3 linked regions of the Oryzias latipes genome follow. The protein of the gene in region 2 interacts with the protein of the main gene of each other region in a pairwise test. Links are inferred from orthologs where the notes say so. Each region holds a gene or a part of one and is shown on either strand. Other genes may lie near its edges. The genes, in order: scyl1, gorab and rchy1.

Region 1 (4,430 bases), on a different chromosome or scaffold from region 2:
CCAGAAAACTCAGTGCTTTCTGTGAAGAAACGAGGGGGAGGAATCACTGCAAAATTACAACTGAGCTAGAATGTATTTCTGATGGTGTGTTGTCTTTTTCTTACCACTATTTGGTGCAGACCCCAGGACACTTCCAGCTCCCCAACACCACTTTTTTCTGTCTGCGCCTTCAGGTGGACGGCTAGAGGCGTGACCTGCTCAGTTACCAGATACAGGCTCTTATCTGTCTGTAAGAACCAACACAAAGAAAAAAAAAAATCGACTTACTACTCACTGAGAAATTGGGAAACACATTTACCAGACATTCACCATATTAGAGTCGAGGTTTTTCTTCAGTAATGTGGATTAAAAACAAGATTGAAGCTTGTGAATAATTGATAATAGTAAACTAATCTTACATAGGTGAAAAAATATATCTTAAAACACAGAGCTGCAGGCGTCAAATCTCTACCTTCCTATTGACAGCAAAAACCAACACAGCGGATACTAAAAATTCTTAAATATTTGTTTTCACGTTCTTGGTTTTCAACAAATTAAAAATTTTCTTTTTTATATTTTTCTACATTTCTTGTTCTGGCCCTTGGTGTAACAACCACAAGTAGGTGAGGCTGGGGTGAAGACATCTCCCTGTATCTATTGAAGCTGGGAGCTGCAACCGTGTATGGCCCTGACTCCTACGCCTGGCGCACATGATACCATGCAGTCGGACCATGACAATGGATCCTTAACCGATTAAAAGAACTGTTGTGCTTCTGCAAAGGCGGCAGCTTTTGTTACGCCCATTCTGGTGATCCGCCTGCCTACTGTTTGTGTGAACCCCGAGCTCTCATCCTCTTTGTTGTGGGCCTTGGTTTCTGCAGCGCAGGAGTTGTTCATTAGAAATTCACCTCTAAGTTGTGGACAGGATCATCCAAGCTCTCTGTTTACACTCTCTCCGCTAGCCAACATACCCTCACAACCCCAACCTGACATTAAAGATGCAACAGGAATGGTGAGCAATGTTGGAGCTGTCCAGCCGTGCAGTTTTGAGCCAGATACTAGCTCAGACAAGGAAAACCAAAACGTATAAGAATCTATTAATCTACAAGTGGATCCATTAGAATGGAGCAGCAGAGAACTTGTGGCCCACCCACCGTATTTTCTACGTAGCAAATACAATCTTTTCAAACAGGTGTTTATTGTCTGCTGCAGATTAAAAGGGATTTGAATAAAGAAATACTGAGAAATGTAATTTTAACCTTAAATTTATTTATTTATGTCCTCCATCGTCCTGACATGTTAAAAACACAGTTTTCATTGGAGTGGGTCTTGAATCACATCCCCTCCAGTCCGGTTCATTTATTTCTTTATGTTTCACCTTCTTGGCTGAAGAAGAATGTAACCTGGCAAATATAAAGATCGAGTAAAGGCTGTTCATGTCTCAATAGAAGTCTATGGGGTTTGAGCAGGTCCTTCCTGTTTGGAACGCCACCAGGGAGAAATACTCCGTCCAGGTCTCATATACAGTAAATGTTTCATACTCTATGTTGGGTTTCAACAGACACAAAGAAGGAATATTGTACAATATGAAAACTAATAAAGTGGACATGAAAAACTTTTAATGTAAGGGGATTGTAGTCTATGCAGAATGTTTTTTTTATAACCATCTTTCCGGCTTTTTATTGGTTTCTCTAAATCACATCTAGATAGGTGTGTGTGTGTGTGTGTGTGGTACTACACTAATAATCAAACCTCCTCACACTCACTCACCTCCATCTAGTCATGTGCATTGCATGCAGAAGAAAAAAGTAGATGGTACACGGATAAACACAGGCAAAGAACACCTTAACAAAAGCAACCAAGAACATGCCATTGAAGGGAATACCTCCAGGCCGTCCACATAAGCCAGAATGTTGGGATGCCGCAGAGTCTTCATTCGTTTGAAGGCCGCCTTGGCGAGCTGCGTCTGCTGCTCTGTTCCTTGGGACACCTCGTACACGAACACGGACACGGGCTCTCCAGAGGTCTGAGACAACAGGTCCGGACAGCCAAGTTCAACAAATTATTAGCAAGCCATATCCGCTTGACAGCTGCCACGCACGTGGTACTTTATGTACATTCTTTGGTCAAACATGACAGCATAAAACGAGATGACGTTAAGACGAGGAAGTTGACGCGCGAGCGCCTGCTGATCCTGTTTCCTGAAAGGATGACCATCGCACAACTGCTGACAATAAATTAACACTATGTTGTATTAATTAAAAACGACACAGAAAAAATCCGTGTCAACATAATGTGTGATGTTATTATATTAATTTAACAGATTAAAAAGATGTTTTAATTCCGCTAAAACTGGGTGACGTGGCGAGAAATGCGCGACTGTCTGTGTAAACAATAAGGTCCGCTTAAAAGAATATACAAAAAACAAAAACCTGAGAACAAGAGTGGGAGGCACATGGCTTATATCACACAAATAGCATCTAAAAACCCGCAGCACGCTATAATTCTTCCTTATTTTTCATTCGTGTCTCGTAGAGGCCACCATCGCATCAGTGGGGCTAACGCTAACTCGTTCTCGAAAAATTAGTCAAGCCGCTTTCACCTTCCGTTTTCCTCGATGTAGACTCCAAATCCCGGACCTTTCTGGGCTGTCTGGGAGAATTTCATATCCGAAGTCTTTGACTGGATCCCTGGCGAAAAAGGACCACATTTTCGCCTTACCTCCACACAACAGCAGAGGGAAGCTTCAAGCTGCGGCTAGGTTTAAGGATAGCGCAGATGGGAAATGCTTCCGAAGAAACGTTGTTACTGTGCGTTGGTTCCGCATGCTGACGTCGGTCGTGTCTTGTACAGTGGGGGGGGATTCAGTCAGCCACCAATTGTGCAAGTTCACCCACTTAAAAAGATGAGAGGGGCCTTCAATTTTCATCATAGGTAAACGTCAACTATGAGAAACAAAATGAGTGGGGAAATCCAGGAAATCACATAGTTTGATTTTTTAAAAAGAATTTATTGGTAAATTATGGTGGAGTATTTGGTCACCTACAAACAAGCAAGATTCCTGTCTCTCACAGACCTGTAACTTTTTCTGTAAGAGGACCTTCTGTTTTTCACTCGTTACCTGTATCAATGGCACCTGTCCACAACCTCAAACTGTCACACTCCAAATTCCACTCTGGCCAAGACCAAAGAGCTGTCCAAGGACACCAGAAACAAAATTGCTGACCTGCACCAGGCTGTGAAGACTGAATCTGCAACAGGCAAGTAAGCAGCTTGGTGGGAGCAATTATCAGGAAATGGAAGACATACAAAACGACAAGAATAGTGAGCAAAAGTCCCATTAATACTTGGGGGGACCTAGTGACCGACCTGCAGAGAGTAAACAAAGGTTACCACACAGATGTGTACGGTACTCAAGTGACAGATGTGACAGAGCCTGGAGACGCCACGGAGAATGTTCTGCCGCCTGCAGTATGTCCGGTTTGGCAGACAGTCAATAGTTTTAGGTGGCATTTCTTTGGAAGGCTGTCCACGCTTTACCTGACTGCATTGTCAGACCCCTTTTGAGACCATATGCTGGTGTGATTGGCCCTGGGTTCCTCCTAATGCAAGAATATGTCAAATATAAGCAGTTTCTGCTAGACATTATTAACCTTTGTGGGGTTGTTTTTTCAGTCATTTGTTTAGCTATAGGATGTGTTTCTCTGTAGTGGTTGTGTTTACCATTTAAAAAAATCCTTACCTAGGGTAACATGTCCATCGAATAACTCTTTCAATGATTCACTTTTAGACCGCATCAATGTTAATAATTCAAATGTTTTGATTAACATTTAAAAAGTGAAATCACATTTAAAAGTCAAACAAATCTATTTTATAAGCAGTATTTTTACCTGGAAAAAATATTGAATTTATTGAATGTCCTAGTTTGCTATCCACTCATTTTCTAATAGTAAGAAATGGTCTCGTCTTATTTTGTCAGGTTTTTTGTGAGAAGGCAAAAGAAACACTTGTATATTCTCCCTTTTGCTTACCTTTTCTCATCCTTGACATTTTATCTTCATTTGGAGTTCATTTGATTCCGTTTTGTCTTGTCTTCTAGCACAATAGTTCATCTTCCATTGTCAGAATTTTGTTTTTATCTCAACAGTATAATTAATCACCAATGCTTGGTTAACTTTGCCTCATCTTAACCACTTTTCTTCTCACTGCTTTCAAATTGACAGAAGGGTTACAGGTAATTGCCTAATAGGGATGGAGGATGAAATACTGTCACATGAGCTGCCTTATGCCATTTAAGTGACTTTATTGACAGCTTATGTTATACATATAGAATGGTATGTTGAGAGGCTCTAATTTAACCTTTCAAATAAAGTTTGTTCTCATGTGATCATCTGAGAAACTCAATAAATTCAAACCAGTTTTCATTTATAAGTTTTTTTTTTTTTTTTTTT
Region 2 (4,183 bases):
TGTTTACATTAAGCGCCATCTAATATCAGGGAATGAAATTGCATGTTTGCTCGGCTCGTCAGCGAAAATCGCCTGGGTGTGAACACAAAAAACGTGTCGAAAAACGCTGGCGAATAACGCCTGGCGAATATTCGTCCCGGTGTGTACGGGCCTTAAGGTTGTTTTTGCCTTTTTTTTGCCCGTTACAGCCGCAGAAAAACTCTTCAGAAATCAGCACAATCGGTTGTTGTATACAAATAAGTGATCTGGTATTTATTATTATTATTATATTAATCAGTGCTATATATTTCAGGCTTCTTAATAAAAATAAATACTCTTCTAAACGTTTGCGTATCATGAAAGGATCAAAACCTTTTACTGCTGAAAGGTGCAGCAGAATACGGAACTGGTTTGAGCAGGAGGCGCACAAAAAAAGGTTTAGTTAAGTTAGCGAGATATTCCCAGATTCCGATTTCCGGGCTCAAAAATTCTTAATAAATGTTAAAAACTGACAGCAAGTGTTTTCTATTGGTTTGTCTTAACGCAAACAACAAAAGAACTGAGAATTAAACAGAGACGACTCCCAAGGGACCATCCACAAGCTCCAGAAAAAGTGATAAAAAAAAAAATCAATAATGTCTCAAAAACAATCAAAACTAAAAAATGACGCCATGGCTAATCATTATCATCATATTTAAGTGTCAAAAACGATTTAAAAAAAGAAAATCTTCATACATTTTTAACAGAAATGAATCACATTTGATAAAAAAATGTTACTAAAACTACAGTCACCACACTTTTACACATGACAATTATCACCTATTTTTTATAGTTAAATATTTGTTTCTAGTTGATAGTTGGACTATTTTGTACTTGATTGGTTACTTTACAGAAGTGCTCTGTTTTAGTGTTCAATGATAGAAGAGCTTTAATAAAATAAAAATGTGGGACAACCTGAATCCGTTTATTAAATTGGTGTATTTATTAAATGTTTCATACAAGTATCTGATTGGGATTCGGTATCGGCAGATACTCAAAATCCAATGACTTGGAATCAGGTCGGGGCCCAATTAATCTGATGGAGACATCCCTAATGTATGTGATGCCCTGAATCGGGAATGTGAAGGTTTGAGGGCAGCAGAAGTGTCCTTTAGGACCTCAGGTGGGTTGTAGGTACCTGGCAGAGCTGTAGTCCCAGCTGGCTTGCTCGATCTTCCCCCTGAGGATGCCGATGTCATTGGACACCATGTCGTCGAGCGCCTGCAGCTCCTTCTGAATCCTCTTTAGCTTCACGGCCTCAGCTTGAGTCTGTTTGGATCTGCAGTAGATGGCGAACAAGCGCAAGTTTGCTTCAGATCATGGCAAATCTTTTTTGTTTTGTTTGACACTAAAATGTTTAAGTGAAATAAACGTTGCTCACTTCTCAGCAATAGTTTTTGCCAGCAGAGCTTTTTTACGTTTGTTCTTCTCTTCGATGAGCTTTTGATCCTGCTGCAGTTGCTCCAGGCGCGTCTTTTCTCGTCTAGAAAAAGACACAAAAAACGTGTCAGAAACTGCAATCAACACAGGAGAAGAGCTGAATCACTATACAAGATAAAATCAATCTCAACGATCCACCGTAAGAGCAATTTCCCTGCATCCTCATTTTCCAAAACATCTGAGGAAGCGTCAAACAGAAAAAACGTGAATATTTTCTAAACGGTTTGTTTAGATTTTTTTTTAAACTGTAAAGAGTGACAATAATTATACAAAAACCCGTAATATTTTTTGCCCTTTGCTATAGAATTGTCCACAAATTTTTCATGAAAGTGTGATCAAGCTGATCAGTGTGAAAAGACTTTATGTAAAAGATGTTGATCTGTGCCAGAAATCTTAGGAGTTCCTCCAGGAATTCTTTATCATCAGATTTCAGCTTTTATTTTGGTAAACTCACATTCGTGTTGGCGGTTAGTGCATTTACCAAAGCCCCTGATCTGCAACATGTAAAGTCCCACTCCGATCATCTTTTGATCTACTGTAAAAGTGTTCCCAGTGGTCTTTTAATTGTGATTATGCTGTTTTTAGCCAAAATCGTGTCGTTTTTTAGGACATAGTTTCTGCAACAGTAGTTCATTAGAAATATGTCTCCGAGTTGTGGCTGCAACAAAAAAAGTTGTCATGTTGGTGCAGGAACAAAAAGTCGTACTAACACTTCTGCCTCCTGTTGCTCCAGCTCTTTGACTGCTGGGGTCTCCTCCTCTGCAGTCACGTGATGGTTCTCATCATGAGGTTGGATTGCAGCGGCTTTATTCGGACCGTCCGGTCTGACGGCAGGAGCAGCAGCAGCAGAAGGTCCTGACCCGGCGGCGGGCTGAACCTCCTCTTTTGGAGGCGGCTGTTGGAGCTTCTGCTCCGCCGGAAGGGCAGCGGTTCCAGCCTGAGTGCTCTTCTGAACGGACAGTTGCAGGAGCCTCTCACGTTGCAGCTGCTGTCGACTCCGGCTGGAGGAAGGCGTCTTCCGAGCGGGGCCGGCTGCTGCGGCTTTGGCCGAGTCTGGGAATGAAATGAATGCCGGTTTGGTGAATGGAGTTCAGGAAGAACCGGCTCTGCCTTCGCCGTATTAATACCGCTACCTTTCTGCTGCATCCTCCGCAGCTCCTCATCGGAGAATCCCGCCCAGCTGCTCATTTTGGATCCTCACACATTAAAGAAGCCAGCGAGGGAGAGAATGTGTAATAAAGTTCGGTAAAAACCCGAAATTCTGACCAAAATTTACAGAAACTCCTGAAGAGTCTGCCATGATTGTTTATGAATGCCACGTCAAGGACCCTAACAGGATTGTCTGGATTTACGACCAGAGATTTGCCTGAACAAAAAAAAAAAGCAACATGTATAAATCTAAACGCAGAGGTGAAACGATGTAATTTCCCTATTCAAATGTATATATAAATTAAAATCAAAATAATTAATGCATTTTAAAATCAAAATACATCAATAATAGTGACCACTAATGAACACAAAAATATGGCAATTTTATCAAAGCCTTTCCTAAATAGCCACCGACCTCCTATTTGTTTTTGTTTTTTTCAATAATTCTTTTAAAGAAAGCCTCGCGGGCATTTTCAAACACCATACTAGTAAAACTAGAAAATAAAAAGGGACTCACGTAAATGACAAATATATTCCAAATTTTGTTTAAGTTTTTCTTTTTTTAATGATTCAATTTTACTTTGGAAAGGGAAGGGGCGTGTCAATATGGACTAAGTTTTGTCTCTCTTCTTGTTTGTGAGAAGATCAATATAGACCTTCAATTAGATTTAAATCAAATGAATGCAAAAACAAGAAAAACTATTTCATGCTTGAATTCACATTCATACAATCGAGTTTTAGAGCAATAAAAAAAAAGTATATTAAGAGATTTACAATCGTAAATTTACAAGAAAAAATCTCGTAAAGGTAATGTGCGTTTAAGAACTTGCTAAACACAGTTGTTGAACGCCCACTTAGGCCTTGGTGTTCACACTGGACAAAGGGAGGGGCTTCTTCTTCTCTTTCCACTGTTTACTAGCTAATGTCCACCACCTGCAGGTGGCAGACATGGCTTGGTGCGAAATTTTGAAGCGGTGAAAATCTGATGAATTTTGCTAAAGGCTTTTTTCTTTCACAGCTCTATTCCGATATATTAAACTTGGTGTCATATGATTCCGTTCAAGCTCAAACCACAATTATTTATTTTTCGTTCATGATCAATTTTCAAACGGTTGGCGCTTCTGTGAAATGAAAGGGACGTCATCCATACATCATTACTTTTCCCAAGAAAATATAGATATTCCTGGACTTAATTTTGTTTTTTATTTTAACTATTAAACCATTTTTTTTCGAGGGGGGTTCTGAAAAGAAGAACTTTTTTTTTTATAGAGACAACAGTCCACAGACAGGCTGTCTATGAGAGGCCATATAAAATATAATACATACTTTTTCATGTTTGTAGTACACAGACAAACAGCCTTGTAGTTGACTGTCTGGCTGGAAACCCTCAGATAAATTCTGCTGCCCTTCAGTGGGATGTTGTCTGTGGTTGGAGCTTTCTTCTTTCAAAACAACCCTGTGCAGGCGATTAACAGTGTCACGTGTCACTACGACAACATAGGGAAGAACCCCAAAAGAGGAGGAACGAGGGACAAGGTAAGAGCGTGTGTCCCAGGCCATGTCTTCCCATTATGGC
Region 3 (3,650 bases), on a different chromosome or scaffold from region 2:
GGGGGAGAAGAATATTAAAACTAAATTGAATGTTAAGGACAACTCCAACTGTTGTCCTTCAGTCTTGCTGCAGATTCACCTTCATCTCACAGACCCCCCCCCCCCCCCCCCCCCCCCCCCGCCTGGTCTCCCCAACAATCCAGGCGAGGTGCCGGTTCATCTCAAACACGTCTATCGTTGCATTTTCACCACGTATTTTCAGTGTGTCTAAAACTAATGTTGTTTTTGCTCGAGCGTGTTTAAAGTTCAAGCCCCGTTAGCTGTCACGCATGTACGTGAGGGACATTTATTCTCCTCAGCTGACCCGACTCCCGCGGGACGGGAGCGGTGTGCTGCCGTAACCCGTAAGATGCGCCGCCGTAACCAAAACCTAAACCTTACTACGGGTCTGTGTGACCCAGAGAAAAGTTCAGCACGGACTGCATGTATTTAGAAAATTACGAGCGAATAGATACGTTCTAAAAAGGAAAGTAAGGAACCCTCAAGAGTCATTTATTCCACTGTGATTGGTTGGACATCTCCGTGCACGACGATGAAAAAGTGTCATTCATACAAACTGGCGGGCTGCAGTAACATTAAACTTTCATACTAAGGCGCAAAATATCATCTTGGAGAGCGCAAATAGCCCGCGGGCCGCGAATTTGAGACCCCTGTCACTTGTACACTAGCCGCAGGTCGGAAGAATGAATCAATAGTTCACTTACTCATAGCTCAGACGCACATATCAGGTTGTGATGATATTTGTCTGTTTCCTTCCCACAGATGTTTACGCGCGCTCGATTATCTCTAGGCCCCGCCCCCTCCACGCATTTTAGCCACTGTAAGTGGCTTTCCCTTTCTTTTCACACGCAGTGGCCGACTCACAGACAGGAATCACTCAATGAAACGCGAGTGTGTGCTCGCGTTTTAATGAGTATGTGCGCGAGTGTGTAGGTCTGCCTGCGTGCGTGTGCGCTCGCGTCTCATTGATTATTTCATTGATCATTGACGTGCCCCTTCTACGTTTGATGTATAAAAAAATGGAGGGTGGGGGAGGCAAATTTACTGGTAGCACATGTGCGACTGGATGTAAAATTCAGTCGCACAATCTCAAATTTTGGTCGCAAAATGCGACCAATTGGTCGCAGTCTGGAGCCCTGCAAGATATTCCTTTATGTAAAAGACGCCCATAAAAAAACAAACATGCTTTGAGACTTTGCATCTTGAAAATAATCACGGGATCCGTGGCACACGCATGTGCCAAAACGTGGCTAGTGATCTGTACCCCTAATGCACAGTATTCATTATTGCTGATGTCCAGTCAGCAGATATTCATGCATATATTGTCTTTTAACAATGTCCAACATTAAACCGTTTTGTATTCAATAGACATAATTTAACAATTGAGAGCGATTACAAATTGCACGGACTCTAAGCAAAAAAAAAAGGTAGTTCATTTCCAGAAATGCTCTATTTAACAAAAAACTCTAAAAGTGTTAATTAATCAACCAAAGACAGCCTTACTTTGTTCAGCTGTTTTCTAATGCAAACACTGGCTTTTGGTTGTTGCTTTTGCTGCGTGTGCTCATTCTGAATTGAACTTTTATTGTCATTACATGTAAGTTGTTGAGCAATGCTGATGTCATGCTTGGCAAGCAGATGATTTTGGCACAACACCGGGACATTTTGTAACACCGGTTGCTACAGGGAAGCATGTGTAAAAGTTGTGAGGGAGGGGGGCGATTTACAGCAGTGGTCATGATGACAGACACCAGCACTGGTCTGTGGGTCGACTGCTACTGGATCCCAGAGAGAATAAATAATTCACATTATTTCTATTTTCTTTATAATCGGATTCTAACGAATGTTTTATTTTGGAGATTCTCTTGATGCATGTCAGGATGCTGTCCTCACTCGTGTCTTACATAAATCAACCTTCTATTCAAGGTGCTGCTAGTACCACACAATCAACATCATTGATAAACTCACACCCCCAAGCTAGCAAGGTAGACAAAAACGAGCGTCTTCATAAAGAATAGTATATGACTTTAAGGGAGAAGAAAGTTTAACAGACAGAAAACAGGATTTCTACGCAAAATGTGGATTTATTACCACAGTTGTTCCAATACATGTAAACTTGTTCTGCATAATACTCGACGATCGCCTCTCTGTTATAAGGATGCTGCTTAAAAAGTTTAAAACACAGTGAACTTTTATTACATTTAGAAAATACTGCTTTCTAGGTTATCATTTTATTTTTGTTATATTTCTCTTGCGCACCTTAGAGTTTACCACAAACAAATATTGTCTGACATGAAGCTAGTCTGTGGTGTAAAAAAAAATGTTAAAGGGTTGTTTCTTTAAGCTGCAAATGGACCGCTATGCTGAGAGTCTATATGGAGAAGTATGTTGCAGAGACACTGATGTGTTCACCGTCATATAATCAAGTAGCACAAATCAACCAGTTAAAATGTATTGCCAAAAATGAACATATGATTTTTATTTTTTTACATTTCTCATAAAATATTGTCTGTTTCTGTGTATTCTTAATCAAATCTAGTGCTATTGCTTATTTTAAGGCTTCTGTATGTACATTTTTTAAAGACAATTTTAGCTGTGTTCACTAATCTAGTCTTCTGCTCATTAATCAAAAATATTAGCTGCTTGTGAGGAAAGATGTTTTTTTTTCCTTCATCTACAGTCTTAGTAGTAGTAAAATATTAGGATTGATGCTAAGTTTGATCATCTGTATACATCTATGGTGTTGAGTTATTTAAAAGGGTCCTGGCTTCCTGTGCTCTGCATGTTTCAGCGTCCACCGCTGCCCCCTGTGCATGCGGTCTGCTTGGAACCTGGACTACCACTGGAACTTGCTTGACAAAGAGATTGCTCAGACACCGATGCCCTCTGAGTACCAGGATGCCACAGTCCAAGTAAGGCTATGGAAACCCCCTCACTAAATTAGAAAACAAAACTATTTCCATGGACAAATTAGAAAAAAACAAAGGTTGAAAAAAAAAGTAGAGCTTATTTTTGGCACTAAAGCCTCAAAGTTCTCTGCTATGCCTCTGTGGCATCCCAGAGCAAAACTATTTCTCTGCAGAATGAATCAAATATTTAGTTTCTGTCTACTTTTCTAAGTTGCAGAAATGTTTAAGTCAATTCTTTTTTCTTTTTTTTTTCTAAATTTTAATAGGTGATATGTCATGATTGCCAAACCCACTGCACGGTCCCTTTCCATGTGTTGGGGCTGAAGTGCACAGGCTGTGGCTCCTACAACACCGCACAGGACGGAGGGCTAATGTGGCAGCAGGAAGGGCAAAACCTCCAGGATGAAGGAGAACCAGAGCAGCAGGACTAGCCTGGATGACATCTGTCACTCTGGAAATGTATACAAAGTGACACTCTGTTGCTACACCTGTCACCTGTATTTTTTTGACTCGCTCAGAACGCAGACTGAGCCAATGTTTGTCCATAATCCATCTATCTCGTGGACCTGATGTCACTCGTCAGGGCTGGAATCGATCCTAGGATGCAGCTGTCGAGGACACACTGGCCGGTCAGTTGGAGCGCTTCCACACGGACGCAGACAAGTCAGTTTATCTGATCTGCATGCCTTTTAGTCTGTGACAGGGAACCCATGGAGGGATGCTCACAGTACACCAATGCTG

Evidence for each region.
Region 1: the proteins of gorab (region 2) and scyl1 interact in a two-hybrid assay, tested with the Homo sapiens proteins (2 studies listed by BioGRID and IntAct). The link is inferred for Oryzias latipes from reciprocal best matches to the Homo sapiens genes GORAB and SCYL1.
Region 3: the proteins of gorab (region 2) and rchy1 interact in a two-hybrid assay, tested with the Homo sapiens proteins (3 studies listed by BioGRID and IntAct). The link is inferred for Oryzias latipes from reciprocal best matches to the Homo sapiens genes GORAB and RCHY1.

Annotation. Positions count from the first base shown.
Region 1 is NC_019868.2:12,321,601-12,326,030, reverse strand, and holds the start of scyl1 (N-terminal kinase-like protein), read right to left. Parts: upstream 2,820-4,430; 5' UTR 2,690-2,819; coding exon 2,582-2,689; intron 2,006-2,581; coding exon 1,865-2,005; intron 228-1,864; coding exon 105-227; intron 20-104; coding exon 1-19. UniProt on the Homo sapiens protein: Regulates COPI-mediated retrograde protein traffic at the interface between the Golgi apparatus and the endoplasmic reticulum. Involved in the maintenance of the Golgi apparatus morphology.
Region 2 is NC_019862.2:23,368,782-23,372,964, forward strand, and holds the start of gorab (RAB6-interacting golgin), read right to left. Parts: upstream 2,822-4,183; 5' UTR 2,647-2,821; coding exon 2,592-2,646; intron 2,512-2,591; coding exon 2,169-2,511; intron 1,502-2,168; coding exon 1,400-1,501; intron 1,298-1,399; coding exon 1,157-1,297; intron 1-1,156.
Region 3 is NC_019867.2:25,260,675-25,264,324, forward strand, and holds part of rchy1 (RING finger and CHY zinc finger domain-containing protein 1), read left to right. Parts: intron 1-2,791; coding exon 2,792-2,912; intron 2,913-3,175; coding exon 3,176-3,340; 3' UTR 3,341-3,650. UniProt on the Homo sapiens protein: E3 ubiquitin-protein ligase that mediates ubiquitination of target proteins, including p53/TP53, TP73, HDAC1 and CDKN1B. Mediates ubiquitination and degradation of p53/TP53; preferentially acts on tetrameric p53/TP53.